3 linked regions of the Neodiprion lecontei genome follow. The protein of the gene in region 1 purifies or fractionates together with the protein of each later gene. This does not show direct contact. Links are inferred from orthologs where the notes say so. Each region holds a gene or a part of one and is shown in the gene's direction. Other genes may lie near its edges.

What was found.
Region 2: the proteins of AP-2 complex subunit alpha (region 1) and BMP-2-inducible protein kinase purify together in Drosophila melanogaster (affinity purification with western blotting; 3 studies listed by BioGRID, with this or other methods). This does not show direct contact. The link is inferred for Neodiprion lecontei from reciprocal best matches to the Drosophila melanogaster genes AP-2alpha and Nak.
Region 3: the proteins of AP-2 complex subunit alpha (region 1) and protein numb purify together in Drosophila melanogaster (affinity purification with western blotting; 5 studies listed by BioGRID). This does not show direct contact. The link is inferred for Neodiprion lecontei from reciprocal best matches to the Drosophila melanogaster genes AP-2alpha and numb.

What each region holds. Positions count from the first base shown.
Region 1 is NC_060265.1:7,700,965-7,712,112, forward strand, and holds the start of AP-2 complex subunit alpha, read left to right. Parts: upstream 1-4,473; 5' UTR 4,474-4,590; intron 4,591-4,848; exon of another isoform or gene 4,849-4,922; intron 4,923-5,616; 5' UTR 5,617-5,641; coding exon 5,642-5,705; intron 5,706-7,106; coding exon 7,107-7,318; intron 7,319-7,415; coding exon 7,416-7,609; intron 7,610-8,171; coding exon 8,172-8,403; intron 8,404-8,532; coding exon 8,533-8,641; intron 8,642-8,731; coding exon 8,732-9,375; intron 9,376-9,463; coding exon 9,464-9,595; intron 9,596-9,668; coding exon 9,669-9,866; intron 9,867-9,945; coding exon 9,946-10,286; intron 10,287-10,378; coding exon 10,379-10,647; intron 10,648-10,739; coding exon 10,740-10,884; intron 10,885-11,006; coding exon 11,007-11,148. Other genes in the region: protein ABHD18, read right to left, coding at 1-280, 421-618, 961-1,099, 1,164-1,276, 1,347-1,529, 1,705-1,789, 1,874-1,965; rRNA-processing protein FYV7, read left to right, coding at 3,406-3,538, 3,609-3,732, 3,820-4,066. UniProt on the Drosophila melanogaster protein: Adaptins are components of the adapter complexes which link clathrin to receptors in coated vesicles. Clathrin-associated protein complexes are believed to interact with the cytoplasmic tails of membrane proteins, leading to their selection and concentration.
Region 2 is NC_060260.1:5,815,234-5,826,475, forward strand, and holds the start of BMP-2-inducible protein kinase, read left to right. Parts: upstream 1-4,366; 5' UTR 4,367-4,623; coding exon 4,624-4,750; intron 4,751-6,000; coding exon 6,001-6,116; intron 6,117-6,439; coding exon 6,440-6,573; intron 6,574-6,772; coding exon 6,773-6,884; intron 6,885-6,981; coding exon 6,982-7,185; intron 7,186-7,311; coding exon 7,312-7,415; intron 7,416-7,491; coding exon 7,492-7,624; intron 7,625-7,727; coding exon 7,728-8,322; intron 8,323-8,530; coding exon 8,531-8,897; intron 8,898-9,177; coding exon 9,178-9,316; intron 9,317-9,665; coding exon 9,666-9,918; intron 9,919-10,175; coding exon 10,176-10,223; intron 10,224-11,242. Other genes in the region: 28S ribosomal protein S31, mitochondrial, read left to right, coding at 177-448; snRNA-activating protein complex subunit 4, read right to left, coding at 1,263-4,103.
Region 3 is NC_060261.1:16,627,230-16,638,009, reverse strand, and holds the start of protein numb, read left to right. Parts: upstream 1-3,532; 5' UTR 3,533-5,331; coding exon 5,332-5,406; intron 5,407-10,780.

The sequences.
Region 1 (11,148 bases):
CGACAACAGTATCTTTAGTCTTATCTTTACTATTGTCTGTATTATCTTTAAAATGATCATTATTATTGTCGATACTGAGGTCAGTACTGTTTTTGTTGTTTTGAACGTCGGTGAGACTGTGTGCTCCTCGTGACAGCTTATCACCTGACATCTTTTGTTCTGATTTCGAATCGGCAGTTACGACTCGATCGGAGTCAATTGACTCCTTCTTCAATTTGTTCATCCTGTTCATACTCTCTGGATAATGTTTCGCGAAGTGTTGTCCCGCCAAGAAGGCGTCCTATAACAAGCATTTCTTAAATCATTATTTGCTCCACTTTATTTTGCATTCAATAACAACTACTTTAGCTTATAAAACGTTGGTTTGAATTTTGCATGAAAAACTATTAAGAAAATGATTTGAGAAGAATCGAAGCTTACGTCCTGTGTGACGACCTTGACCATTTTTGCTAAATCGTTCTGGTAGACTTCGTCTGCAAAGTACTGGGACTCAAGGAGGTGCCAATTAATGGATGCGCTCATGACTCCTTCAGTGAAAACAGGTGATGCGGTAGACCATGAAAGGCAGGGAACCAGAGGAATTGGCTTTGGCCAATTTGTTGCTGCTAGAGAGGCCATCTATACATTTTTCCATCATCTGTTAGAAATAAATACTAGCCACCCAATGCTTTCATGTTTTAAGCATTGGCTGGGATACGGTAAAGATGTTATTTCAAAAAAGTTTCATCATAATCTATCAACCATCTCGATGGAAACTTTATTTTGCCGTGGTACATCCTGAGTGAGTACAATATTTTTGTTTCTGATTGCTTCGCCGTCTTTTATACGTTTTACTATGCACTGAAAAGGTTGATAAACAATGTTTGATAGTAATAGCAAGCGTGATACTGAGGTGATAAAAATTAATAAAATCTCTCAAAAAGCATTGAAAAATTTTATAAATACATGTAAACTACTAACGTGACCACCCATTGATAGTCCGGTAAGCCCTAATGGTCCAAAGCCTTGCTGTTCGCACCAGTTTAACAGAACTATAGATTCCATTATTAAACAACCACCCATTACAAAAATGTCTGAGACATTATGCAAGCTCGAACGTCTATCAACAGATAACGTATTTATAAATAAAAGTTATGTGTACAAATTTCACAGGAGGTTCTTACATCTGATCCTTGGGCTTTCTGAGACCGTAGAATGGATTTTCAAGTAGAATAGCCCCGATCCCAGCTTCCTTGAGCAGAGGGCGAGCAATCAGATTTCGACGGCGCCAATAGAACTTGAAAGTCAAATTTAAAAGTTACTAAAGAGTTCTCGCAACTGCTGTCACGCTGTTCAGTTAAACTTACGTGATCCCCTGTTCCGGCCAAATGCAAGCAAATGGGTTTGACTCGCTGGGATTCCCACTTGCGTGGCAAAACAACCTGGAAGTAAGCAGTTCGCGTCTCTTCCGGCATGAGGCCTGGCAGATTTTGGTCAAAAGGCGACTGAAAGGAGCCCTCCAAAATGTGACAGTCTGACCATTCTTCATCCTGATTATTTAAGGTTATATTTTAAAGGTTAACATTGGTGAATGCAAAATTCGTTTCATCTCTTGTTCCATTTTGAAGTCGATGAAAGTTTTTTCCAATGAGAACATTCAATACTTATAAAAGCGGTTTTCGGTAAAGTATGAGATAAAAAATTGTAAACATAGTAACACGTCACCTTCGTTATCGTTACGGGATAATTGGTGGGTATAAGATTGTAGCAAGCTTCTCGATTTGCAACAATTTTACGGAACTCAAATATCCTGTGAGTAAAAACGAAAGAGATTATAAAGAGAACATAATAGAAAGTAGGTTGAGTAGATTTCAGGTAGTTTTAATATATTTACCTCCTCAAATTTTCCGGTTTTCCCCAGCCCTTGGTGAAAAATTTTGTGAGCAAAAGACTCCTGTACACCGCATCCAAACGACTTGCGGGCATTATAGAACCGATTGTAACGTGTAAATTTATACCTATCCGGAGAATTATAATTCTCGTAAACTGAAAAACTAGATAAATTTCACCGGACCCAAAGCGTTCAACATCTTTTAAAGTATACGTCAAAATTCATACGGGTCAAACGGGTCAAACTGCACTTTGGGCTGCATGTGTTTCCTCGTCTATGTATAGGGTGTTATAACTCCACTTCGCAGACGAAATCTGCCTGAATCGCTGATCTACTAACTTTGGCACGTTTAACACCTAGGCTACAGCATATAGAATGACAGAAATCTACGCCAATCACCGCGCAAAGATGGAATGGAGCCACATCTCGATGCTCATGACGAACGATTAGTCGTGATTAGATTATTCATTGCTTGTTATTCGTTCTGGTCGAGATAGATATCGTCGAAATGATTCTGTTTATCTACAAATTATGAAAAGCATGCATCCTAAATTGTAGATATTTTCACGACCCCGTATTTTGACGTTCTGAATACGAAACCGGAAATCGCGTAAACGTTCACTACGCTATGTAGTTTACTACTCCTACGGCTATAAAAACACGTGTTTACCAACGTCGGACGTGCCGCACGGCACAACGGCGAATATACATTCCGAGAGTTTTTAAACGAGTACCTAATCGCTGTTGCTCGCGACTCAATGTCTTGTTTGTTTTGTAACGCTATGGCCTCTTAGGTATTAGCAACGCTTAATTTTGGCAGTTTATCTCAAGCTAAATTTAAATCTGGCACGTTAATTAAAATTAGTCGCCGACTATATTATTCGCATATGCATATCATATTGTAACTATCATACAATATTTATTCGTGTAAGATAAATCGACCTGAAGAATAAAATGGATACACGTAATTTATTCGTATTGTCCGGAGAATTAAAATTCGTTAAAAATATACTCAACATTCAATTGTTCCTGAATAATTTTATATTTTCTGATGTTTATATGTAAGGTGCAGCTGCACATGAAACATCGCGCTTTTTGTTTGGATCAATGTAACAGTCAAATACCAAATACACACACATATTTGTTGTATGAGTACTTATACTTCATCCATCGCACAACGTAATTCGTTCAAGATCTATCTTATCTTGTTTTACTTTCTGAGAACTCACCGCGCCCCGTAAATTATTATCGCTGAATCGAAGGTTAACACAACAAATTGTCGCCTGCAAGATGACAAGTAAATCTGCATGACCGTAATGATGTATATTTACATCCCGGTATTTTGAGGGTACTTCAACCACATTTCAACTCTGTTCGATTTCGTGAATCCCGATAGTGCTGCACTCTATGTTTAACTTTTAAGCAGAATCCTCGTGTACGCATTTCACATGTCACTCGTTTCACGTCTAGTGGTTTTCTAACCTATTAGAATTGATTGTTGTTGTCAACCGTCGGTGATCGATTAATTGTGAATAATGCAGAACAACAGGAAAGATTTGGGTAGAAATGAAGCATTGAAAACTAAGAAGGGCGATAATAACGAGCAAACTAAGAAACCGTTCGACAAAAAAACCTACAGGTTGAAAAAGTATAGCAACAAGTACAAAGGTGACTTGAAACAATATCTCTGATAGCGACATACCTATATGCCTGGGCTAAATATTTAATGATATTTCAGTTGACCAATGGGAGGATCGCAGAAAGAAGGCTGTTCTCAGACAGTACTACAAAGATCTGCAAAAAGGTCAAAAAAATGCAGCACATTTAAAGACAGAGTCAAAAGATAACGACACAGAGACTAGGTATAGTTTTTACATAACTTGTTTCAATTCTCTTTCATATTGAAAGCTTGATATTCACACAACGTGCACTGTTCCGTCTTATTTCAGCAATCCGCAACCCAAAGGAAATGCCTTCCATGCGGCTAAGATTGAATATTTGAAGAAAAAGGATGAAAAAAAGAACAGAAGGGAAGAAGCTCAACGTAAAAAAGAAGAAAAGATCGAAGCCCTGAGAAAATATAGGGAAGAAAAGGCATTAAAGTACAAAAAGTTGTCGAAGAAAACAAAAAAAGGTCAACCCGTTATGAAAGATAGGCTTGAGATGTTACTGGAAAAGATTCAACAAACTAGTTGAATGAATCACGACGTTGATCGTCCTAAATCTACAAAACTCATTCATACTGTAAATATCCGCCCATTGTTGTGTAATTAATAATTTTTTGTGTAACAATAAAATAATGGGATAAAAAATAAAAATCTCTGAACGACATGTGAATAATTTGAATCGACGAGGAATTAATCAAAAGAAAGTTTGAGTGTTTTGTCGAAAACGCCGAAACGGATCTCTCAGAATTCAGTCCCACGTATTGCGAGAACTCCCAGACTGTGGCTTGAATAATTAGGGAGCTAATAAAACGGAATCTTGTAATATTATTTGAAATTTGCCGGTCCACGGGATGGCGCTGGTTACGATAAAATGGCGCACGAGCCGCGCAGCGAAATACGAGGGCCGAGCAGCAAGCGTAGAATATAGAGCCGTCAGCTTAGCGGTTGCAAATGGCGACAGCCACGAAATCCCTGTCACAGATTCGCGTATAATTCTCGTCGTAAATATATCTGTGACTCCGCCACCCGCACGGTTATCCCTCGGTTATATTGGTGAGTAGAACCATAGCAATCAATTTATATAACCGTAAGTGATCCGGTTAATTTAATAATGTTATTAGCGATTAGCGAAGGGAGGTGGGCCTGCCTATCGGGCCGAAGTTTCTTCGAAATATTTTACTATTTATTCGTCAAAACTACGCCCCCTCCCGCGGAAGAAATTATCCGGTCAATATTATCGCACCGCATCGCCTTCTTGTCTAACTTATCACTTATACCGTAATAAGGCTCTTCCAAGAATTGTTTAGTTACCAGATAAGTCCGATCTTTGATTTCCAGGGGTGTGCAAAATGGGGGCTAATCAGTCCGCTGTCAAAATCCTCGCTTGTTATCACAATTAGAGTAAATCACCGCATACGAACAACAAATGGAATATTTTGGCCCATTAGTTTTCGTTGTGCAACCATCTGGTACGCTATTTATGTCGTTGGCACCATTGCCAATTGTTATTACAACTTTGAGTAGCCGTTGACAGATTTTTGCGCAAGGTGGTTTTTAAATTCAGCCCTAACACTGTTCTTAATTTTTTTTTTTTTTTCTCCTTTCGTCAGCTGATAACAATGCATAAATATTTTCATTGCCATTGACTCAACGTGCCTGCATGCGTGTCTGAAACACTTCTTGCGTTACATGTAAGAATCGTATATGTATTAGTAATCTAGCTCCGCCAGAAGCAGCTCAGTATATCTGAGTATAGATTAATTGCAAATCAATTTATGCGTTGAAAGATTGATTGAGTTTGCATTAACTAATCCAAGTGGTTTCTTATTTTTCTTAGACCTACATTTGTCAGGCAAGATTAATTTGTCGGTTTTCTTTTGCGAATAAATAAAAATTGTTACGTATCAAAAATTTTTGTCACACAGCATTCTAGGCAGCAAATTATCGATTATGAACTACAAATCAACCTCAAGTTCGAATAATGCAACACTTTTATCAGTGCTATATCAGATATCAGCCTTTTCTTTCCAGTCTACTTGCCCAATCTACTTAATAATGACTAGTTTACCTTTATCCTAGGTCGTCTGAGCAATAGGAGGCAAAGATGCCAGCCGTGCGAGGAGATGGCATGCGTGGTCTCGCCGTGTTCATTTCAGACATCAGAAATTGTGAGTTTCATTGTTATTTAAACTCATTCACTAAATCTTTGAAGCCTCAGGTTCACAAGAAATTTAATCACTAATATGGGCATGCATCAAATCTCTCTATATCATTGCTCCGGCATTTTTTTTTTGAAATTCGCAACGACCAGACTGCATTCGCAGACCGGAATACACGCTTATCGCAATTGCTATTACGTTTCTTCTGTCGATGAAATGATAATGTGCCATTGAGACTGAAGGAGATACATGATAGTCTTTTGTGGAATGGGGGAATGGGGGCGGTTCTGTGATACTGCCCCATATGTGATAGTCCGGTAGCTTCATGCCACAAACATGTAACACCTACTGTGATATGTATTTTGTGATATACATTCAACATCTCTGCCGAGAATAATCATGTTATTAATGGCATTGAGCTATCTGAGAAAAAGTAATAATTTTTAACAAAAGTATATTTATATTTACTCCATAAATTTATAACGCCGGTTTGCGTATTCTGGCATATTTATCTTTCGATGTACACCTAATGTTTTTTTACTATATTTTAATTAAGTTTTATTGCTTTCCTTACCTTGGTAAAATTCGTACGAAAATTCTTATATAACCAGTACGAAAAATTATGGCCTCTTGGTTCTGTAAGAATTGGATTTTAGGATCTTTTCCGGTTTGAATCGTTCGTTAGTGCTGCTTTTTACATATACAGCAGTTTTCCCTGCTACAAATAAAGTGAATTCCTCGAGGAACTTGCTTTGATGGAAAATGAATCAATATTTGTAATCTACTATGCCAAATGGCCAAGAGCCATCTAGATGTGTCATTGACCATACTAGAGATTTTCAAATAGGTATATAACCGGACATTAGAATAATGTACTCTTGAGATTTAACGTGACAATTTCGTAATCCATTTTTTGCATAAAATATATCCCAATATCATGTAACAACAACAAAAAACTGTTATTATTCCTGCACGTGAGATTTATCAGAAATCTATTCAATTATATATCTCACATATGAAGCTGAAGGAAGTAGCCATAATTATAGCTGTCTTGTACGAATTAGAAAAAGAAAAAAAATGTCTGAGAGTAAATTAACGTTATATCGTTCCATTCATAGCTGGTCTATAATTAAGCTTTGAATACTTTTTGATAAAGTATGTTTGCACCTAAAAAGGGATATTTACTTACTTCAGGAATAAGGATGGTAATTTTTAGTTCAGTTCTAAGAAAATTTACAGCAATTGATGCTGAAAATTAGTATCAAAATCTGTTCTGTGGTCATACCTGTTTCTTTTTTCTCTTACATCACACATCAACGTATCTCTTGTTCACAGGATAAGTGCCTGCTTAGGTATATTTCAATTTGAATCAATTCAGCTTTGAATACTTTATTAACATCTAATTGACAGGCAAGAGCAAGGAGGCAGAGATCAAGAGAATAAACAAGGAGCTAGCAAACATCCGTAGTAAGTTTAAAGGCGATAAAACGCTGGATGGTTATCAGAAGAAAAAATATGTTTGCAAGTTACTGTTCATATTTCTACTTGGACATGATATTGATTTTGGTCATATGGAAGCTGTAAACCTTCTTTCGTCGAACAAATACTCAGAAAAACAAATTGTAAGTCATTATTTTCTACTCTAGTTTTATGTTGAACTGTAAAAATTTATTTCATTTGCTTCTGCAAAGAAGTATTTATTGAAATTTCTCATTTCAGGGATATCTATTCATATCTGTACTAGTAAATACAAACAGCGATCTTATTAAATTAATTATTCAAAGTATCAAGAATGATCTTGCATCAAGAAATCCAATTCACGTAAATCTTGCTCTACAATGTATCGCCAACATTGGCAGCAAGGAAATGGCAGAAGCGTTTGGCAACGAAATTCCAAAACTGCTTGTGTCAGGGTAAGTTGTCGAGATGCAGCACAATTCACCATTCTCTACACTATTCTCACGGTTTTACATAATCCCTAAATTGCTCAATGGATCTAGGCGACTGGATATTAGGTGATGTAAAATTCTTGTTACAGTCTTGGAATTCGCTTCTGCCATAATTGACATACTCGTTTCCAATTCTAATGTCGGTCAATGAATTTTTTGCTGCTACATTAGTCGATTAGTGGTAAATCGCTAATTCTGGCTCAGGGATTTATTTCGGTAGATAAATTTACTGCCTATCATTGTTACACCAGCAGTCGCAATTCCAATGTAGATGTCAAATCAAGATATTTTTTTAAGTTGTTGCGCACATGCTTTGATAAAGTGTACCCTAGAACAAATATACTTTTTAATTTTGTATATCAAAGCATTGATCTTACAAATTTCCTGTTTATTTACGGTTGTATTAATTGAACTCCGCTATCCAAATCCCACCAACACAGTGAAGATGATTTTGTAACTTTATTATGACAAAAGTAATTTTAGTAAATTGTACTGCAATTTTTGAGGGAAAATCGTAAATCCACAGAGACACTATGGACGTTGTGAAACAGAGCGCAGCCCTTTGCCTCTTGAGATTATTGAGGACAGCACCAGAGGTGGTTCCAGGTGGAGAGTGGACTTCTCGCATAGTTCATCTTCTGAATGACCAACACCTCGGTGTTGTCACAGCAGCTGCATCGCTGATTGATGCGTTAGTTAAACGAAATCCAGACGAATATAAGGGCTGCGTCAGTCTTGCTGTTTCAAGATTGAGCCGGGTAAATTTTCGTGGAAAACCTGTTTTAATGTTGTAATTACTTCGAGTTTTTTCACTAGGCACTCTGTAATTATAAGTGAATGAGGACCACTCTGCTATTATTCTCTAATTACGAGTTTTTCTTGCATAGATTGTAACGGCTAGCTACACAGATTTGCAGGACTATACCTACTACTTTGTACCTGCGCCTTGGCTCTCTGTTAAACTTCTTCGTTTGCTGCAAAATTATACTCCACCTGGTAAGAAACTTTGACAGTTTAAAAAATATAAGTGTATTAATTTAAAACGTTACTCAACCAACGTTTGATATCTATACTTATTTTCTGTAGCCGAGGATCCAGGAGTACGTGGAAGACTGAACGAATGTCTTGAAACCATATTGAACAAAGCTCAGGAGGCACCAAAATCGAAGAAAGTACAGCATTCTAATGCAAAAAATGCAGTTCTTTTTGAGGCGATAAGTTTGATTATTCATAACGATAGTGAGCCAAACTTGTTGGTTCGTGCTTGCAATCAGCTTGGTCAATTTTTATCAAATCGTGAGACTAATCTACGGTATTTAGCACTCGAATCAATGTGTCATCTTGCTACTTCCGAATTTTCTCACGAAGCTGTGAAAAAGCATCAAGAAGTTGTGATACTTTCAATGAAAATGGAAAAAGACGTTTCCGTGAGACAGCAAGCCGTTGATCTACTTTACGCGATGTGCGACAAAAGCAATGCCGAAGAAATTGTCCAAGAAATGCTGAATTACCTAGAAACTGCGGATTATTCGATCCGAGAAGAAATGGTATTAAAAGTAGCTATACTAGCTGAAAAATATGCAACTGATTACACGTGGTATGTCGATGTGATCCTAAATTTAATCAGGATAGCTGGTGATTATGTTTCTGAGGAGGTCTGGTACAGGGTTATTCAAATTGTTATCAATCGAGATGACGTTCAGGGATATGCTGCTAAAACTGTGTTCGAGGTAAGAATTCTATATTGGAAAATTGTCTTCATTATAGTTGGCAAAACACTGCTGTGATTGTACTAATTATCTTCTCTATGTGTAACAGGCTTTACAGGCTCCAGCATGTCATGAAAATATGGTCAAAGTTGGTGGCTACATTTTGGGTGAATTTGGGAATCTTATCGCCGGTGATCAACGTTCGTCTCCTCTAGTACAGTTTCAACTTTTACATTCCAAAGTGAGTGTGATGCCGTATGAATATCCAGATTATTTTTACACTCATTATATTTGTCTCACCTTCTTTGTTACAGTATCACTTGTGCTCCCCGATGACAAGGGCACTGCTGCTTTCGACTTACATCAAATTTGTCAATTTATTCCCTGAAATTCGTGTTCAAATTCAAGAGGTTTTCAAGCAACACAGCAACCTACGCAGTGCTGACGCAGAATTACAGCAACGAGCTTCTGAGTACTTACAGCTGAGCATTATTGCCTCCACTGATGTCCTTGTAAGTGATAACAATACAACGTATACTGGACATTATTAATTATCAAATATTAATATGTGAATTGATCCATCTACGTCAGGCTACCGTTCTAGAAGAAATGCCAGCTTTCCCAGAACGAGAGTCGTCCATTTTGGCTGTGCTGAAAAAAAAGAAACCAGGTCGAGTTCCAGAGAATGAAATTAGGGAAAGCAAAAGTCCAGCACCTAATTCAAATCATCACACTGAAGCCCCTTCGGCAATATCAGCTGCAACTGTCAGCAATAATAATTCGGCAGATTTATTAGGCCTCTCTACTCCCCCATCTTCCCAGCCGACAAGCAACACTGGTGTTCTTTTGGACGTTCTTGGTGATATATATAGTGGAACACCAAACAATGTCGGTGCTACGAATGGTGCACAAAACACTTATAACCCTAAGAAGTAAGTACAGACTTTGAAACTTTGATTATCATTTATCAGTATCGATTTTCGCGTTTTGTTTTTTTTCATAATACGTCTATTTATCTGTATAGATTTGTATGTAAAAACAATGGAGTGCTATTCGAAAATGATCTGATTCAAATCGGAGTTAAGTCTGAGTTCAGACAAAATCTTGGACGCATTGGATTATTTTACGGAAATAAGACGCAATTTGTGTTACACAACTTTCACCCACAATTATCCTGGTCGGAGGAGGACGAGGCTAAACTATCTGTTCAAGTTAAGCCGGTAGATTTGGTCTTAGAAGCAGGAGCGCAAATTCAACAGATGATTAATGCTGAATGCATCGACGATTATAATGGTGATTTAATTGAACCGCTTTTTGCTGAAAACTTGCTAACTCATGGTCAGTTCTAACTTACTTTTCTTTTTCTTTCAATTTTTTCATTTCAGATGCGCCGAGCATGGTAATTTGTTTTTCGTATAACAACGTGCCTCAGAAAATAACAATGAAATTACCACTTACCATTAACAAATTCTTTGAACCTACTGAAATGAACGGGGAGTCGTTCTTTGCGAGGTGGAAGAATCTTGGGGGGTAAGTAGTGTCACAACAACAACGTGGAATGTCTTTAAGCAAATTAAAAATTCGTGTAAGAACTAAATGTGGAATTCTGTCCTTCATACTTCTTCATTTGTAACAACTACGTTGATTTTCAGGGCAAATCAGCAACGTTCGCAGAAAATATTTAAGGCTCAACAGCCAATGGACTTGGCACAGGTCCGCACAAAGTTGCAAGGCTTCGGAATGCAACTGCTTGACGGGATTGATCCGAATCCCGATAACTTTGTGTGTGCGGGA
Region 2 (11,242 bases), on another chromosome or scaffold:
TAGATTAGATTAAATTTTATAGTATAATTAGTATGTTCGACTGTTGCCATTTCTCACTCGTTTCCTTACGGGTCAATGAAATTTAATTTTGCTGAAATAAGCTAATTTCTCTCCATTGGAGAATAATATTATAATTCGTGTACCTGACATAAATTTGAATTTTTCTATTTTATTAGATCTAACCATCGATCAAGAGGAACACTTTTCCGATCACGTCTTCCTGGAACCGTATTTAGAAGGCTGGTGCCCAAGAAAAGGACCCATCAGACACTTTATGGAATTAGTATGTGTTGGGCTATCTAAAAATGCATTTATGACTGCTCAAGAGAAAAAAGACCACATTATGTGGTTCAAAGAGTACTTTGACAAGAAACGGGATCTCCTGACGGAATTGGGAGCTTATGGTACAGAGAAAAGCAGTGAAGAATTAAAACAAGTCGAAGCATAAACAGTTGTATTTTATAAAGTTTCACCCATCAAATATATTATGTAACTATGATGTAGTACGCAAATAAAATTCTTCAAGAAAGGAAAATTCTTTCTTGCTTATCCGCGAACACATGTAACTCGTCTATGGTACTGAGAGTAGTAATATCGACAAGAAATTGTATTGTGTTTTCAAGGACATCATAGGGGCGTCATACAGCTTGAGTGTTTCCGACATATTGTAGAAAATATATTTTTATTTAAAACACAAATAACAGCAGACACTGCAGCTTCTTTTAGTATTATATTATGACGGTTTTGAGATTATAAAATAATTTTGGATTGTTCAATTACTGTAATTCTCATAAATATAGTAAACATGAGACAAAATGATTACATTGTAGAAATATAGAAAAAGGTATTAAACGGTATTTTCGTAATGGATATACATATTAGCTATATACTTTAGCTGCAAGTGCAATCGAAATTGCGAAGTTTTTTAGTATATAAATATGATGAATATCATCACAGATACGATACGTGATAAACATAGAAATGATGTTAACCCCTGTACCTACAATGTCATGGGAGACGTGCTACGTCGATCGGGCCAAACATGAGAATCACGAGTGAGAGCCGTGATATTTACACATATGACCGACCTTGCTGTTGATTATAGGCTCACGCAATCGGAACTTAAATCGTAGGTTAAGAGGTTAATACAATTGGAGTAAACTTTAGGACATAAGGTTGTGCAGTGTCATTTAACAAGTCTGAACCATTAAGGGAGAATACATTGTACATATACAATGTAGATAGCTGATTTTTTATGAAATTCATGTCTCAGAAATTTCTTCAACATTGAGTTTTGCAAACTTTGCTTTTCTTTTTGTTTCCGATCCCCCACATTCCTTACTGCCTTTTCTTCTTCTTTGACAATTGTTCCCAACACTGTCCAAATCTTTTTCTCTCATATCGTGTAATACAGGTGGTGCTACTTCGGACAATTCTATAGGAAATTTAAAAAGCTTAGCTAAACGTTCCTCAAATAATTCCAAGGCTTGTCGACCCTCTGTTGTCATCCTATAATCTTCAAGTTCATCATATTCGTCTTCCACCAAATTATCTGCCTCAAGAATGTGTTTTGATAATAATATTCCACGAAACCCTAGTAAAGTTGTGTAATTTGGAGGTATCAGCATTTCTGGCCAATACTTGGTGAGTTTCCTTCTGGTAATTTTCGAAGATGACTCATTTATACCTGGCATACTTTGCTCTGTTTCACTTGTATCTGGATTGGAAACGACACCTGATGTACTTGGGGCGTTCATATCAATAATTTCACTTGCACTATTTAACTTCCCACTATTTGGTAGGGAAATGAATTTTATCGGCAATAGTTTACCGGATCGTTCAGGTATCTCCTTTGAAAACACAGTATCTGTCGGAAAGTTTTCGGTTTTGCCGATAAATTTCTTGGCCATCTTCTCAAATGCAAGTTCGCTTTGCAAACCGCCCATTTGCGATATGACTAGCTCAGGTGTTTTGAAGTTTTTATCTAGTTCAACAGTGGTTGGCTCGTTCGTAGGATCGTAATTTATTCCGGTAACTGTTCCTTTTTTAATTCGTGAGATAATTTTCTTACCATCAAATGGAAACGGTGGTATAAAACGATCTTCACACTCTGTCACCATAGATGATCCAAACATCTTTTGCCTGGTATGTTCAACCAATTTTTGTTGCATGTCAGACGCCAGGGTTTCATCCCTTGAATACTTTACTAAGGAAGTCAGCAGCTGCTTATCTTTTTCCGTCAACTGTGGTTCCTGGTCGAAATCATCAGGAATATCAAGATCAGCATTCAGCAGTTGCAACATAACGTGAAGCCTCGGAGTTTTATAGTTGAGCTCCTCGGCAGTATAAAATTTGCTGTTTCTTCCAGGTTTCGAAGTGGTTCGATACATTCCTTTGAAGTAATCCTGAAGCTCTATATCAATATCAGATAGATTACTTCTCTTTCCATCGTTTCCATCCTTTTCATACGGAGTTCTCAAACACCTACTTATTTCTTGAAGCCTTTCTTCACCAGTCATCGTTGAATCTTCGATGCAAACTTCTTCAGACTTTTGTCCCCACCTGGGTATGGATCTGAGGGACAAGCCCCGACTCAGATATCGGAGTATCGACGTATGGCGATGTCTAACTTGGACTCTAGACTTGTTGGAGAATTCTTTGGAAATAGCGGACCAATTGTTGCCAAATTTTTCAACGAGATCTACCAGTTTGGTATCGTCTTGTAAAGTCCACTCATTTTTTTTCTCATGCAGAAGTGTTCTATAGTGATCGTTCAACTGCGCCGTAGTTCTGTGAGGCAGCAGAGAAACTGAAATTTTTGTAAAATTAGCCCCAAACTTGTTAACACCTGCAAGTAGGAGCTTGTCCTCTTCTTCGGTGAATCTACCCTTTTTCAAATTAGGAGCAAGACTGTAATTCCAGCGCATGTATATCTGCTGCTTTCGTCTCTGTCCCATAAGCTTAGCGACCTCTCCCCATGGAATAAAATTCCCAGTCCTCAATCCATTTACAGCGTCAATAAGTTTCTGGTCTTCTTCTTTTGACCAAAAACTGTTCCTGTTCAACATGTTGTTTCTAAAATTGGTATTGAATCTAATAAAACATTGATATCCTGTACGATTTGTGCCCAATTTTTCAGCCACTAGGTCCCAGTTTTGAAAGTTGTAATTCTCAGCCAACTTTTTTAGATCCATATCCTCAGCCTTCTTCCATTTACTCTTGTTGATGTCAGGATGTAGGAAAACGTTCCACATTGCTCTGCACTCGCTGGCGGAATGTCTCTCATTGAAATCGGTTACTGCTATTTTCAACCAGTCAAATTCCCTCGATCCTATCGGACCAACCAAGTTCTTGAAGGTCTGAGCTATCTGCTCCGGTATTCTCTTAGCCGTCAGCTTGAATTCCAGGTTCAGAGGATCCTCTGCATAGCTCAAGTGTTGCCCGTTATTAGGTTGTTGTTTTCTTGCTACTTGTTGGGCAATCATCTTAGCCTCGCAAAAAATAGCCTCCCATAGCGTGTTCCGATCTTTCAGAGTCCATCGCAAAGGGCACGGAAGTTCAATGATCTGTAGCTCACCACGATTGGCTTTCAACTTAGCGTCCTGGTTCTTGGGTGCAGGAAAATGACGCTTGTCTTTGAAATATGGGATCCCGCTAATGGTTAATAGCGTTCTAGAAAATGGGTTGGAATTTATCTTTTGAAGTTTTTCATCTATTAGCACTTGTTTACGCTGACACTCTTTGAGCAAGAGGCGAAGCTTTCTTTGAGCATTCACCAAGAGATTTATTATTTTTCTATTTAGATTCAACGCAGCCTCGGGACTCGAAAGATCCAAACTGCTATTGATATTCTCGTTCCATTCGTTATCACTTTCTTCGCCATCGACAAGTGGGTCGACAGTGCAGCAGTCCTGAATCGTGCTCGACGGGGATAGAGGATTGTTCGCTTGAGACGTTGACGGCTCGCATTGACTGTGTTCTGTTCTAAATGGATCTTCGGAAACCAACTCCTTTTTCAAACCGTCCGATTGTTTTTTCGTAAGAACTTCTTGGAGAGCTTTTATGTCGTCGAGTATTACATCCTCGTCCTCTAAATCACTCATTTTCCTGTTCGTAGGTTAACAACAAGGGACGAATCCAATCAGCGGCGTTGTGATATTATCAGTAATTTGACGCTAATTCGTTGGCAAGGTTAAAACCGACGGTAAGAGAAGTTTACGTTTGGGAAAGACTTGTATGTTTGCGGTGTTTGGTATTTCAAGACTTGACGTTAGACCGGAACTCAGGGACATATGTTTCCGGTGTATTAGCCTCACTTCAGTTGCTGCAGCGTGACTTTTTGCCGCGCATGCGCAACTAACGCTGTCTTAAAATGTCGGCTGGGTGAAATACGTTGAATGTTATCATGATAAAATTGATTTTCGTTGGTTAAGTTTACGCGCAATTTCCACGCGGATTGCCGGTCGAGGACGCAAATATAGTTGGAATAAAATAAGGAGTAACTCCGCCGGCCAAGACTCGTCTATAAATCGTAAAACACTGTGTGAGGAGGCCTTATGTCAAGCCAGTCTAATATTGGGTGGATAGCCGAAGAAGTAGCGCAGACGACAACGACGTGCCAAAATGAAGAAACTCTTCTCAAAAATCGAAACAAAGATTGACAACACAGCCAAGGAGCCAAACAGCTATGTCGGCAAAGTATTTGTCGTCGGCCGTCACACCGTTACAGTCGAAGATGTCCTCGCTGAAGGTGCGTAACCCGCGACGTGTAATATCTCGTCCCTCATCCTCGATCGTTTCCCGTCTTGGAATCTCTACTATCGCTGTATGTCGCTATGTTTATTACAATTTCACGGCCCTTTCATTTCTTCGCGCAACAAACACCATTTTCAATATTTTCAACGATTCCGAGCATTCGTACGTACTCCCCATTTATATCCAACTCCCTTAATGGAATCTAATTCGTTTCCGTTTCCAGCCTCGTACGTAATTCGTTTTATTGTTTTTGCAACGCGAATTATTCTCGTCGATTCACTTGTGCAAACACAACGTGGGGTTGGTTTGAAAAACAGAAGGCTCGAAAGAAACCTGAGGAAGGTGCGTAGTTGTTTGTATCGTGCATTTCAGTCAGCCGCAACGATCATTCTTGGCCATTCTAACCAGCATTACCTGGTGCTATGGCCTTTTAATCTCATGTCTCAATCTTATCTACCGGGACTACAAGTTTATCGCAAGACAAGCACCGTTACCGTGATAGATTACCGAGTGTTATTAAACTTTTATGATTGCAGGGATGTTCTCCTAATCTTTCCAGATTTGAATAAAAGCCGTTCACTTCTCTCAAGTTTCTTTATTTTCCTTTCATTACAAATTTCTCACTAATCCAACAAACCACTCCCACAACTCGGTACGCAATACTTATGATTCATTTATTGCTAAACTGGGAATAAAAATGACTGGCGAAAAAACTTTCTTTATTCAATCGCATTGAATCAGTATCATTTTCAGATGATACATTACAGCGCTGCTAAAAATCACATACCAAAAACCCCTCACATCATACGCAACATGCAAATAAAAATTTAAACATTCATCTGCCAAGGTTAAAAATATTAACTCGAGCAAAGCGCTAATATAAAACAATTGGTGATTTACATTAATCAGACTGAATTATTCGATGTACTTATTGAACTGTATCAAAATGACACTGGCATATAATCTAGACTTTCCTGAATTAAAACAGCTCAGTTTCAGACTACAGACATGATACAGCTCTATCGTCATATCAAGTTGACATGTGTTAATCTTACATATTTATTATTATGATACTGACAGAGAGCATGATATGACACAATAAAGAAGGGATCAGAAAAATTTGAAGCTGGATACTTAATTACTCGATTTACTAATAATAAATTTTAGATGTGTTGGAAAAAGCAATTTTCACCTCACTATTGAAAATAATAATTAGATATACTTAAATTACATCCCTAATTCCAGGTGGCTTTGCTGTGGTATTCTTGGTCAAAGCATCGGGTGGGCGTTATGCGCTCAAACGCATGTATGTCAATAATGAACATGATCTCAACGTATGCAAAAGAGAGATACAAATTGCTGTAAGTATTTGAAAATCGCAAACTCGTTTCAGAATTTTGCTACAAACAAGTGCCAATTTTGTAGCAAAAATTTTATACGATGAGATTATGCCCTTTTGATACTCTCGAATATGTAAACCCAGGACATGGGAATATAATTAAGAGTAATTGCTTGTTCTACAAAGGCTCGCTTCCTTGCCAGGTTGTGTAAACACTTGTGATAACTTGTCATATGCCTGTATAGTTACACAAACAGTAAAGTGAAAATATTGAACATGGCCGCTCGGCCAAAGACAATTACATTATCGTTGCTGTACAATATAGCATATCAATTCAATTTTCAGAGCAATCTCAGCGGTCATAAAAATATTATAGGATATGTGGATAGCAGCATCACTCACACTGGAGGTGGGGTTCATGAACTCCTCCTTTTAATGCCATATTGCAAATCTCATGTTCTTCAAATGATGAATAACAGGTCAGTTATACGTGGATAATGTTTGTGATTAACATTTTAGTTTTACTTTTACTGATACATTCAATTTTCGGAGCAGACAAAAGATATTTATTAGATATTCAATTGTACAAACTAGCAATGTCCATCTATAGTAATCTCACACATACCTCTGTTCGTTTCAAATTTAAAAACAACAACGTTTATCCTTTAAATCATGCAGGCTACAAACTGGATTCAGCGAAACTGAAGTCTTGCAGATATTTTGTGACGTGTGTGAAGCTGTCTCGCGTTTGCACCATTGCCAGACGCCTATTTTACACAGAGACCTTAAGGTAGGTCAGTCTTAGAAAAAAAAACTTGTATCCAATTTTTATTTCTTTTACGTGTTGATATTGCTAGTTTCAATGGTGATGTTCTTATCTGTCACAGGTAGAAAATATTTTGCTAGCAGATTCTGGTCATTACGTACTATGTGATTTTGGATCTGCAACTGGAAAAGTATTGAATCCAAGTGTTCAAGGTGCTTCTATAGTAGAAGAAGAAATTAAAAAGTATACAACTCTTAGTTATAGAGCTCCAGAAATGGTTGATATGTACTGCGGCAAGACCATCACAACAAAAGCAGATATTTGGGTAATTTCTGATGATTATATTTTTGAATTACCATGTGAATTACATGTCAATGCAGGTTGAGAAGCTGTAGAAATCCAAATTTTGTTCGTCATTCCCTCTTTTCTAAAGAATTTAATTCTATTACAGGCTCTAGGATGTCTGTTATATAAATTATGCTTTTTCTCGTTACCTTTTGGCGAGAGTACGCTTGCTATTCAATCAGGAAACTTTACCATACCAGAAAGTTCGAGGTAAACTTTTGGCTTATCTTGAATATTTTATTGTAGTAGCATGACTGGTTATATTAACTTTTTTCTCAATTTACAGATATAGCAAAGCACTTCATTGCTTAATTCGATACATGTTAGAACCCGATCCTGATCTGAGACCAGATATATACCAAGTTTCGGTAGTTGCTTTCCAGTTACAAGGCAAGGACTGTCCAATACAAAACCTTCACGTAAGTATTTTTTACTGTTCAATTGAGTGGTCCTAGCAATTGGCAGATTATAATGACTCAGATTCAAAAGATTATTGGAAATTGTATTTTTGTATATTTACAGAAAGCTCCAACCCCGGTAATAGAGTCTCTACCCTGTCCTCTTCTGGAATCTGAAGCTATCAAGCGTTCTTCGGTAAAAATTCAAAAGCTTACACAAGTTACGATGGTTGAAGGGACATCGGTCGCACCGAGACAAAGGCCGAAAGGTCAGAGTGCAGCGGCTGGTCCCATAAGTTTAAGTGGTCAAATCATAGGTCAGATATCGGGGCAGGGCAATCAATTACAATCCCAAACTACACTTGGGAATTCAATTCCCTATACTTCTGTTAGTCAACAGATCCCGCCCATTAATACTCCACAAGCTTATCTTGGACAAAGCGTTCAAACAAACCCGCAACAGCCCTTACAGCTGTCTGCACAATCATCCTTTGTTCAGGTCAGTCCTCACATCTCATCCCCGAACCAAGCCATCCCCTTTGGCCAATCCCAGGCCCCCTCGCCGTTTGGCCAATCTCAGAGTCCGATGATTAGCCATTCTCCTCTCCCTCATCAATCCCCGGTTACTATTCAGGAAAAGAACCCGTATTATTTCGATTCAAGAACGACTGCCTCAGCTGTTAAAGAGGAAAATTTGGATGCCTTATTTCCCTCGTCTGGTGAGTTAATTCTCAAATAATATAAAATCATCAATATCTTAGATACAAATTATTTTATTTCGCTAGCAATCCTTACTATTGTCAAATGTCACTATATATATACAGAAAATGTCAAGAATCTGTATTAAAAATTTTTACGTTGCTTATATTTGTATCAGCGAATTTTATATGCCCTGATAACCTGTTTCATCACTACAATTTGGCTCAGGTTACCCAGATCCGTTTAAAGATGACACTTGTGTGATGATGGCACCTGCAAAAATCCCACCGCCTGTTGCTCCTAAGCCAGGTACAGTCAAAATTGGGGCACCTTTGGTACCTCCAAAATTAACGACTCCCACCAATATTGGCCCACCAAAACTAACAACACCGACACAGCTGCCATCAAAATTACTCACGGCAACGACATCTACTAAGATACCATCCGCAGTCCCACCGCCAGTCTTGCCAAAGCCTGTTCCGAAAATGGAGAGTCTAAGTCAAAGCATCAGCTCAGCTGGAACCCCACCAGATAGTCCTACGCTAACATCATCTAGACATCGAAGGAATGTCAGTGATACTAGCGCGTTCAACAAGTAAGCTCTCTTCTTTGCAATCTATTTCTTTAATACACATGAATATTCATTATACAAACGTGATCAATAATTTATATATAGCTATTCCATCACTCTGAGTTACATGCATATTTGCAGTCTGTTTCACAATTTTATTTTATATTTTTTTCAAAACAAAAACTTGTAGATTGAAATTCCAATCTGGTGGAAATTGCTATCATTGATGTGGAAGGTATTGTTTCTCGAACCGCCTCAGTTAAATTAAATAACTAAATTACAGTGGCTATTTCAATGTTTACAGAGTATTTGCAAATGAAACTTCTCAGTTTCTAGCACCGTACGAAGCCTCTGTTAAACCCCGATCCGGAGGCTCTACACCTCCCGATGTGTCAATGGATACAAAACCAGGCATAGGCATTAGTGCCTCTCACGTACGTATTGTAAGTACCTATTGCACACCTTTATTTTTTAGTTCACTTATTACTAATTCCTTCGAAACTAAAATACCTCTCTTCACTTCTATGAAATAATCATAGGTGTTTTGACCTTATACATTACGATCATTTGTATTTAATTGTAAACAGTCGAGCTTGTGAAATTCATGTAACATTTATTTCGGCTTACTGTTGAGTACTTTAATTTTCAATTTCTGCACTGCACACACATTACTGTTGTATATATATGTGTACAATAAGTAAGAATTTGATGCTAGCGATTGTTTTTCGTCATCTGTAATACAATCGCACACGCCTTACTTACATTTATTCAGATAGTTGTTCTTTTTCTCAGGGTGAACTTTCAAGCACAACTACCAGCACAGATGGTAGATCCTTAAGTGCTGATGTAGCTGCATGGAATCCTTTTGAAGATACGCAACCGTTCAATCAACTTACTGAAGATCATATTTTTGGGGCTGAATTTGATAAAATTAGAAGAGGTAGCAATAGTAGCATCAGTGGTGTGAAGAGCCGTGAAAGCTTAGTTATGACCTATTCAGAGTTGCCTGAAGACCCCTTCGAATCTGCTCCATTTAGCTTACCCAGTGAGTATCGACTTTCCTAACTATAGTGCTAAGGTTTTTCAATAAAATTTTTCTGGAAATGTGTTAGTTTTAGCTTGATATCAGTATTTTTACTTATGGAATGGTATTTTTTTCTGTTACGTATAAAATTTAACACTATTCTATCCAGTAGGCACATAACTTACACATCTCTCTGATAGATGATAATATTTATTGTAAATTGTAGATTGTATCTATTATGTTTAAATTTGTTGCCTTGACTTCATCATTTATTTCAGCAGGGAAGAAAAATAAGCATGGAGCTAAAGCAGCAGCTGTTGCAGGAGGTAATGCATGAAACTTTTAAATGACTATCCTTTTTGCTTATCTAGACTTCTTTGAAGGACGAACAATAATACTTGCGTGCATTGATCGTGAAAGCAGTATAGGCATGAGCTATCTTGATTTTATTACATAAATTTACAGATGACCGGTAGAAGAGCAGAGACTATCAAATGATCAATAGATTATTCAAAACATTCTTCTATAAATGTTATTAGTTCCGTAAAGTCCCGGTAACGAAGAGTTTCGTTCAATCCAACGTAATAATTAATAATAATACCTAGTTATATTTCCCATTCTGAAGTATTATCCAAAGTCAAAGCAAGCACGTTTTATTTGAATTATTTTTTATTGCTACTATAATTACTAAATTTGATGTGGTAATCACAAAAACTTGTTCTTAATTATTTAATAGCCATCGTAAAAATCAGTAAATAATATTCGGTATTTGTCCAGAAAAAGCAAGTACATTTTGTTAGAAATGCAGCATCGCTATATCTTTTCTAGAACTGACGTTATAAATTTTTATGGTGGTACTGTGTTCTGTGATTCGAAATATTTCACACTATGAAACCCTCATTCCAGTGATCTCGTTGGCTGTATATTGTGAAATTGTCTTTTTGATTGAGTTTGGTTACTCGTATCGAGTTTCTTAACCAAGATAACGATTTTTGGTATCTGGAGATAGTGTTATAACATAGCACAGTTTTTTATTACGACTTTTAATACCTCGTTTTCTTGTCACAAGGGTAGAACAGTTGTGAAAGTGATTTCTCTTGACAGTGATTAAATGTTTCCTGGAAGAGTGATTAGCAGAAAAAGGCGTACAAATACTACTATTATTATGATCATTATTATTATTTTTCTATCACAGCAGACTCCCAGTTGCACACCACTCATGAAATTCACTGAAATCCACCAAAGAAACGAAACTAACATATTTTATAGTGATAAAACCCCATTAAAAATGTTCAATGAAAATGGCAAACTATTTTAATGCCTAATATTTGACTGTCAAAATTGT
Region 3 (10,780 bases), on another chromosome or scaffold:
TGCCGCAATGCAATTAAAGGTTGAATTTTTTTTTTTTTTTTTTGAAAAACAAATTGCTCATCGTTTGATTGCCGCTATTTTTCGAATTATGTGAAATGAATAGATTTGAATGACAGCTGACCGTAGCCTATGAATTCAATGTTTTTTTTTCGGTTACTTGTTGCAGTTATCAAAGTTTTGTAAGTTTAGTTCAAAATTTACGAATTGAAAATCGATCGATAAAAAAATCCAACACAAAAACTACAGCCATTCTATACTGATGAAAATTACTCTTAAAGACTCGCGTTTTTGTGATGTGAAAAAAAAAAAAAAAATAAAGAATATCAACAAACAATAAGACCTTTTCAGGAATAACAATTGTCTCTCATTCTCTCGTTCATAGAAAGATTCTAATTATTGAAATGTATGCCTACTGCATGAGCATAATAATAATTAAACCAGCGATCTGCGCCTTTCAATTAGTCTGGCACTCGACTCCGCCTTGCTTTAAAAGACAATCGTCTTCATTGTTAGGACATAACTTGATTTTTCCAGTTGGCTCATTAAATCCGGTTCTCATCCGATGCTTACTGGTTATTTTAGAGAAATATTACGCAATCGCAGCAGAGCAACGGGTAACTAAAACGCTTGATGTCAATCGCGATCGCGCTTTTGCCAGAAATGCAAATCCACGCTGCGTGGCACTTGTACTTAGTTTATTCATCCGTTGTTACATCTGCAAGATAGAAATCATCGAGTATTTTTTATCGGTGAAAGTCGTGCGGTAAAGCGGAAAACATGACAGCTGATAAACTCGATGGCTGGAGGAATACTGAAATTTGGCGACGGAGAATCGGACACTTTGCGCCTCAGGTAGGCAATCAGGTTTACATTTGTGCATTCTTAGTTGCGTAATGAAGATATTACAGGCGAAGAGGGAACAATTTTCGTCTATTCGATCGAAGAACAGCTTTTTGTTGCTCGTGCACACAGTTTTTCAAAAATAGAAGCGCCACCAATTACAATTTTGATGATCTTAAAACTTTCAATCAATAAAATAATGCACACCAAAATTTTATGTTGAACTCATAAATATAGTATAAAACGCAATCATAATTTATTTTTTAGAATATATACATATTTTAATATCATGAATTCGACATTTTTCGGATTTTGTATTAAAATTATCGAGTTTGCGTACTTGCGTGGGATTTACGCAGCAGTTTTTTGTTCTTCAAAAATGTAAAGAAAATCTCTATCAATATTTCAATTATTCCATTCAAATATTCGATTCTTCAATTACCATTTCTGACAACACTGAATTAAAGTAACAGAAATTTGTCCTTTAAATCGAATTACTTGAATTTTCCGCTGGTGTTTAGACAAAGAAATTTTTTACCAATTTATAATATACAATATAACGTTATCACTTTGTTCAAAATTTGACAAATTTGCGTGTCAGTAATTGCCGTGCGAAATAATTGTACAAATCGGTTTTTGAGTATAACAGTTGCAGTTTTCTTCCCTTTCTCTTAATCCCCCTTGCATTTTTTCCTCACTCCTCGCACTTACAATTTTCCCTTTCTGGTTCCACATTTTTTGGCCTCGATTTCCGTCCCTCAACGCGGGTTCTTACCCCTGAAGAGTTACACTATATTTCTGTTGGTAAGTAAATGCGTGGTAAGAAGTTCTAGGTAGGAAGGCACGTCTGTAAGCCGGGTATTAACGTCACTCGCCTAGCTAGACTTTGCTGGATGCAGTTCTTCTGTTCTTCAGCAGATGTACGACCATTTGCCGTGGCAGCTGCGCAACTCTCACTCTCTCTTCCTCTCGCTCTTTCTCTCTCCCCATCATTAAACGGAGGCAGGCTCACCTCGTCCTTTACCGACGGTGAAACCTTCACTAGGAGTCTCTGCAAAAACCCCCGATTCACGTTCTCTGTATAAGGAAAGATGGGAAAAAAAAGGAAAAAACAAAAAATTTTAAATGGACAAAACGAAAAGACAAGAGAAGAAAAAAAAATAATGAACAAATATGAAACAACGAAGAGGATTCTTTTGTACTTGTTTACTGTTTTTTTCTTCCTTTCTGCTTCTTGATCTTTGAATGTTTGTTAAGGTCAAAGCAGAACCGAAAAATTAATTACCATATTGGGATAATATGTTTGGTAGAACCTCTCCGACATATTCGAAGACCTTTGCTGTACTGAAAGAATTTAGTAAGTTTTGGAAGGTGATTGCGAATGAGAGTTTCCTTAAACTTCACAGAATCGTAACCAGAAAAATGTTTAAAAACTGGAGAAATTTCTGAATATACGCACCGAAAGTCTGAGTGTGTCAGAAGCTTTTTCTGCCCACATCGATATTTTTCGAAATGATAATTTTGACGAATATTCACACATTTCTTGTTCATTGTTGTTATTATTATTATTGTTGTTGTTGTTGTTGTTGTTGTTGTTGTAGTTGTTGTTGTTACTATTATTATTATTATTTTATGAAACACTGATTGAGAATTTTATTAATTTTTTTCACTGTTTCGTCTTTGAAATCTGCGGTAACACTTCAATTTATATGGTAAATGTACTATGAAATTTGAAGTTTTTCGAAATAATGTTTCAAAGTTTTTCTTGTTCTCAGGAATGTTAGCAAAATTCTGGCCGCATAATATTGTTATTTTATGAAATACTACAGTTATAAATTTCACATGAAATAAAACGAAAACTATGTATTTAAACTGCATGTAAAGTTTATTGAATTTTTATTTACGTACAAAATTTTACCGAGAAATTAAAATTTTTTCAATATACCTGAAGATAGATTTATTTTTCACCGTTCATAAGATACTTATTGACAATCGTTAAGAATACTCGTAATCTTCTAATTTATTATTGTTCTTGTAAATACCACCTGAGATTGAAAAAAATAATTCACTTCAAAACATTTCCAATTCATTTTCGAAACCCGTTAAATTATATTTCGTCCAAGGTGTGTGCCTGAAATAAAAAGTTTCCTCAGCGCGTATCTTTTTCCGCCAGAGAAATTGTTGTTGATTATTGTTATCATCTATAAAATACTCGTTTACAATATTAGAAAAAAATTGATACTCCAGACAAAAACGAACTTCGAAAACCGATGTATCTTACAATCTATAAAAGACATTGTCGAAATTTGTCGGTTGCTGAAAAAATTTTCATATCTATACTTTCACTTTCTGCGTTTCATTCCGTAAGTCTTCTTCGTTACCTTACCGTAAGATGGGTATAATATTTACCGATAGGTATAAGGTACACGATGCGTGCCGAGAGAATGTAACTATACCTATACATATATATTATATATGTATGCAACTGTAACTGAAATGCGAGTTATACGATATTATAAATAGCCCTGTGTGGAGGGAACAAGAGAGGCTATGGGATCAGACCTCTCGTTCCAAGCCGATCCCCCCCCCCCCCCCCCCCTCCTGGTGGTCCCACTCCTCGCCGGCATTTCGCCCCACTACCGAGAGTTCTTACAACGAGAACCGGGCAGCAGGCAGAAAGAACGCCTCGTGGAGTACAAGTTTGAATCGAGTCGAACGAGCCGCGTAGTATTCTGGGTACGCGTACCGCATTCGGTTTGGGGGGAAAAACGCAGCGGCGGCCGCTGTGGTTCAGCCGTTAATCGTCATCGAAAACGGCCTCAACGGTTCGATATCGTCCAATTTCCATGGTGTCGTGTTTTGTGTGATATTCGTGTAGAAAAGTGTCGTTCTTGTCGTGTTCGAATCCGAAATTTGGAATTCACCGAGACGTGAAAGCGGTAATCGTTCATAGATTGACCGTCGATATTCGTTGTTCGATCAAGTGAATTTCTCATACTCCGAGTCTGATATATTGCTATTTTTCCTACTACATTGTAAAGAAACGATGTAAAAGAAAAACAACAAGAGACTATGAAGCGGAAAACAAACGACGCTCCCGGATGCGGTTGGAATATAAACGTCAAGTGTAGTTAATGAAATTGTGAATTTCAATGTTTACAGTTGTCGGTTTCGTTCGCAATAATTCTCGATTTAAACGAAAGCAATAAAAGGTTGATTACCAAGTTTGTAAGTCAGGAGGAGAATATCTCTGCAGATGTGAAAGGAGGATTCTTTACCATTTGGGAATATTGATACCAATTGTTCGATTTGCGTTCGATTGTTTGAATAATTAGTCCAGCGAGAGATCATACGAAGTTCCGAGTTCCGGTGGGGTCGCCGGAAGTGTATTATAAACTGAGCGGAACGTTGCGCCAACGGAAAAACGTGGGAACACTTTCAGAGCAGAGGTTTCGTGACAGCTGTTGCACGATTAATAAACTCGTTACAGGTGCTTACCGAAAGAGGTTCGGTCTTCAAAATGGCGAGTGAAACTCGCGCAAACCGAATATAAGAACGGCCACTCGAATCTGAATGTCGATCACCTGAATTTCACATTCAAAATTGATCGTTAAAAATCGTTTCTTTACCACAGACGAATATTTGAACTGTCTCGATGACAACGGAACGTCGCTTCGGGCGTTCGAATAAAACCGTTACGTGGTAGCGAGCCGAGTTATCAAATTTCGAAGGGCGGGAGCAAGCAAGGTTTTCAAATTTCGAACGTCGGTATTATCTCAAGGTGTGACATCTCGTACGGCAGAGTTGAGTCAAGTTTTCAATTGACCTAGATTTCGAACAGCGGGAGCAAGTCCAGTTTCAAAATTTCGAACGTCGGGCGCGATTCGGTTTTGAAATTTCGAACGGCGGGTGGTATTCGAATTCGAAATTTCGAACGACGGAATCGCGTCGTAAGCGAGAAGAAGCCGGCGGTGTAGCAGAGACTCTTGAGTGACGTCATCGTAAGAAAGGCAGGTTGGGTGAGCCAAGTTTGACCGTTTCCCGTTTGTCAGTACGGATAGAAGAAGCCCAGGCGGTGGGCGGCAGCCGGGAATGGCTTCGAAGCTGTGACGTTTTTCGTGAAGTTTAAAAAGAAAGAGGCCGGAAAAGGTCGACGAGGTCAAGTATCGAGGGACGGTGATCGAGAGTGAGTTTCGAATCCCCGAGGCTTGTGTTGTCGGTGAAACGGGAATCGGAGTGACAAAATTGGCTATCGGGCACTCCGATGATGAAGGCGTGAAACGGCGGTTGCAGTTTTCGCGAATTGACAACTGAGCGCGGTTGGCGTTCGATTAACGCAACCGGCCGCACCTGTGCAGCTTCGCGTCCCTGAGAAGGCTGGAAAATATATATATTCCAACACGGATCGACACGAACGTAAACGCGACTGACCGACTACCTGTTCTCGGATATTTCCCCCGACTTACTACCTGAACCAAAGGCATCGATACCATGGGGAACCATCCGTCCGCCCACCATCCGCTCGAAAGAGCCACAACCCACGCTGGAAACACTCTCCGAATATCGGTATGTAGCCGTCCAGCAACTCGAGACGAAAAACTAAGAGCTGGATTGAGCGGTGACGAATCATTCGGAAAATATTTATTCACCCCCTATGAGATAAACGCGATTACGGTATTGTACGATCCTCGGTCAACCGACATCGTTGAGCTCTTAGACAACTCCAAGTTCTTCCGATCGATCGGAGGAAACGAATTCGATGTTAGGTTTTAAAACTGGTCCTGGCTTAATTCTCTGAGAGACGGTAGAAAGCGACCCGAGGAGCCGTTTATTTGTGTACATATATGGGGAGTTCCAGGCCATTTCGACCCCGCTCATGATCCTCACTGTTTTCAATTCTGTTCTCCTATTCGACGATGCGGATAAAGAGGGTTTGCAAAATTGGTCATTTTTAGAGAAATCGATTTTCTTGCGATTGATCGATTCGCGAAATCAATTGACAACGTGGTTAATTTTAATCAATGAAATTTATGTCAGTGAGTTTTTGCGAAAAAACGAAACTTTTCAGTCTAACACTAAAGCGAAAATTAGTGGATATCTGGTTTGATAAATTTAACCAAATGAATTGTTATTGAAACATCTCCAGCGTGAGGATTTTACGGTTCGTGATCAAATCCCCTATTTTTATATCAGATTGCTCGTTTCTTTCAAATTAAATCCACACCAATTTTCATTCCGGAGTGAAAGTTTTTACCTTTCGGCAAAGAATTCGTTATATTAATTTCATTGAAATCAATTATGCGGTTAACTGTTGAATTTCGAGGACCGTGCGGTTGTTGATGGAAAGCCCATTTTCTAAATAAACTGAAACTGTGGAAATTGCATTTTTGCGATTCGCCAAGCAACGTACACTGGAGAATGAAATTGAAGATGGTGTGGATCGCGAGCAAGTCGAAATGTTTTGGAATGTTCCATATGTACACGTGTGAACGTTATAGAAAAAAAAAAAAAAAAAAAACTGAGCAGATGGGTTCTTCCATCTTCTCCACAGAACGTAAGCTTGGAAAGTTTCTCCTAACTCGCAGTTAGCGAAAACGTTATTCACGCAAATTTCTTCGTCAGGGCATCGTTGCGGTTAGGTTTCAATGACTGCGTTGCAAAACGGTACCAAAAGTGTCTGAACGTAACTGATTTTAAACCGTTTATTATTCGACCCAAGATGCGCCAGCTGTGCACGTTTCTGGAACGGAGAAATCTGCCCATGGGGTTCTTCCTATGGGATCAGCCAGGATCCGCAGCTGCGGTTAAAAATGGCTTCGTGTATACATTGAAGTTCTAAAAAAAAAACGTGAAGCTGGATGGATTCGAGATATGGAAACAAGGCTGAAGTTAGTAACTTTGACGCAACGAAAAATTACTATATTTCAAGTTTACAGTGAGTTTGAAGTAGTCAAGTTCTTGTCTTGTTACGACTCACTGAATTTTAAACATTATTGCAACTGGGACATAACGGTTTTTTCGAAACGTTAATCGTCGCAACAACGTTACTAACTTCACCCTCATATATGGAAGAGAAATTGTTGCAATGTTGACACAACGAAATATTGGTGAAAAACACTCTCCTGCAAGCTTGGAATAACTTTGAAGAATTAACGAATTTACAAAACAGTACGAATTCCAGATTAGGGTGCGAATTAATCGCGAATCTGTATCCTTCCGTGAATTATTAAATCATCTGCATTAATTACGCACTCATCATGGCTCGAGAGTTGCTGGAACCGCGTATAATTATCTAGTTTCAGTAACTTTTTTTATTTTATTTACTTTGGGCTTGGCCTCGATCGCCGCACTGACCACATATTTTGTAAACCGTGATTCACGTCCTGCACTGAACTCACAATCGATGTATAAGGAGGGGGAAGAACTTTAACTCTGTTTGTATGTTGTCATAGCTGTTATATGTGAATCGTGTCCCCACGGGAATAAGGCGGAACTAATAAACACAACGCGATCCATTTTCAAATCGAACAACCGACTCGGCCAGTCGCACACGAGTGCAGTTCAAGTTGTGTGTCTCAAATTTCTATCGGTCAAGCTTGATTAAGAACCTTTGAGATTTCACCTATTCTCACTTGTTCGAGTAACAAACGAACATACCGCAATAAAATATTCAATCTAAGTTAAAGTTAAAGCTAAGAAATCATCAGATGGAATCAAGCATCTAAAATTTCGTTCTATCAATCAGCATCGGCCGAATATTTAACCAGCTTAAATTAACCGTTCGCAGTGATTTTTTTATAGTTGACCAAGTTTTAAATTACCTTCTAGGCCAGTGTACGAAAGCTTCGATGTTATTTGCCCAATTACGAAGGATCGTATTATTTTTCTGCGCCGAAAAGGTTATTTAAAATATGTCTCTGTTTGTCGGTAATGTTCGAATTGGGAAATGACATTTGGTGAACTGATTCGTTTACTTAAATAAGAACCTAAATGAGATATTTCCTCATCTTTTGGAATTTGGTGGCTTTTCGATTCTGCTGATCCTAACTTTTCTTCACAAATAATTGCTTTCAATCCAAATCCATTGCCTGATGATTTTTTGGAATATTTTGAATCATTACAATCGCTTTTCGAAAAATTTTATCACTCAAAAATATATTTACTTTGCAAACGGAGCTTTTCGATATCAGTTCTTTGGCAAGATTGTGCGTCAAGGAATACATTTCCGACAGTGAAATTTGGCACACGTGAAAATGTACTTTTTAACTTGAATATATTGAAGTATGAATTTTTTCTAGCTTGATTGATTTCGTGGCCGACGAGGTGACCGAGCTACCTCAATAAAAAAAAAAAAACGAATTTTTCAGACGAGCATTAGTAACAATTTCCTTTGCCGACGCGACGAAAAATAATTCCAAAGTTGCGAAATAGTGACGTTTCTAAAAATGTTTCCTTACCTTAATATTATTAACTCGAACCTCATCCAAAAGACCCGAACTCAAATATTTTTTTTCGCAGTAAAATTTATGTAATACTTTCAAATTTTTTACACACAAAAGGAAGTTACAAAGTAATACGGAAAGTTTTTTTTTTTTTTTTTTTATTCACTTTTGATGGCAAATCTCGCCGGTACGTCTATTTAAATCTGACCCCCGTAATATTGCCTCTGGAGTGGAAAAAATAACGTAATTACACGTTTCCGGACAAGTATAAACACGTAACGAATTGCTCTGTCAAGCTTCCGAAAAGCTCCAATTTCGGTTCAATCATTATTCCGCGGTTCGTGTCTCAGGCATATTTCGCGTTTAATTGGCACATTGAACAATGCACGGTGAACGTGTGACGTAATCACGATGATGGAGAGTATAACGAGACGACGTGCTCTCTGCTTTGAATTTGACGCTCTCTGAGAGCAATTAGAGTTTCGATGATGAAGCCTCAGCAGAGAAGGACGAATGATCGGCGCTAATTACACAGGAGATTTGACGCAGCAGAGAAGCTAGAAAGTAAACGATAAATTCAGAAAAAAAATTCGAGTTGTAACGACCAAAATAATACATCCGACTAAACATTATTTTTACTTGACCAAAATGATTAGTCAATTTTACAGCGAGCCGAAAACATAATGTTTGGCACCACAATCCCATATCACTGAGAGAAATTTTTTAACTATTTTCATTTTTTACCATAATCGAAAAATATAGTTCTAGGTACAAAATGAAAATTAGTTTTCCAGCTGTTACCAAAAAGTCTGGTATCCGTTACTATTCTTTCTCATCACGATCACTGTTACTATATTTTCTAGCAACTGTTGCGAAAATTTAATGCTTGTGCAATAATAAATTGACGCTGAAGCCTTATTTATCTAAAACAGTAGAGTAAACCTCAGAAACTGATTTAGCGTTGCAATTACCATAAAAAGGATCGACAATAGCGAAAAATGGTTACGTTTACCTCGATTTTCGTAATTCCAACAACATTCAAACAGTTTTTATAACGATACCTGTTTTACTGAATTTTTCTAGCTGCTGTAGAAAATGAAATTTTTCTCAGCGTAGATTCTGTTCCAGTTAAGAAATCAGATCTACACAGCGAAATGTTTTTTTCAAGATTGAAAAATGACTGTTTAACGTTGTAACCGAAAAAAAATTGTCGGTCGATTTTGACTTGTGCTACGAGAATCAAGTACCGCATCAAACAACACCAAAAAAATATGCCGTTGCGAATTGATTGGCCTATTCAATGATATTAGATCACGAATAATTATTCAGTTCCGCTGATTATATACTACACAGATGCCTGGAGCCCATCCTAACAACTACTCATCTCATTTCTCTTGCGAGAAAGGATTTTTAAAGCGCCATAGAATGTATTTTGTCACTTCGACAAAATTTTTTTGTACATTTACGACACAACATATTATTTGATAGCGGTAATCAGTCAGTAGCTCTCATGATTTCGTAAATTTTACTAATCTTTATCCACCGAATAGATTTAGTGAACGAATTTATCAGAGGGTATTCAATATTTTCATAATACCATGAAAAAAGTGCTACTTCGTTAAATCGACTGAATCAAAATCGAGATTTCGTATTTAAAACTATATTTTATTCAGTTAAACTTTTTGCGATTTCGAAACATTTGTTTCGTTCATTTTGACGTTTGAAACAAAATATTGGGTTCCTGCGAGAAAATTTTCCACACAAAGCTTCGACAAATAGATTTTTTTTTTTTTTTTTTTCTTTTTCATTTTAAGCTACAATTTTTCTCCGAGTCTAAACCGAAGCTCCGATAATCAAAACATGCCTGAATATGAATTTGCGCGGTATGACTGCACTGTAATACAAAATTTCTCGATTGTTTTAAACGCAAAATGAGTCCCAAGACGATCGAATCGGTTCAGAAAACCACATTTCAAGTATTTCGAACGTTCTGATCCCAGTCTAAAGCTTTTCCTCAAATTGTCGGTAACTTAGCTTGTGGCATTCGAATCGGCTCGCATTCATTTCTGTCACATATCTCAGCGATCCGTTTCGTTTTTGGTCATCACTGTAGGTCCAACTAACATGTTGCTGTTTTTAGACTCTCCTTATTTTCTTAACTTCGGATTCACTTGGTCCAAGAACGACTAAACAACGACCTTAGTTAAAATTCACCCTCGATCGCCTCTCAGCCGTGCTTCTTAATCCCGTAGAAAACGGCCGCTTGCGTATTATTCACCCCATGGAAATAAGCTTTATTCGATTATTCCGAAACTGCACGGCTGAAAAGACGACAATTTGCATGGTGGAAGCCGGCAGCGAGTGGTTACTCACGATAATTTCATTATCGATTGAAAATGAAGCAGAAAAGAGAAAAGGAACGGTTGAAAATGTTGGGAAAAATTTCTTCGCACCGAGAAATCTTTTCGGAAACCGAACATCGATCTCGAAATTGATTG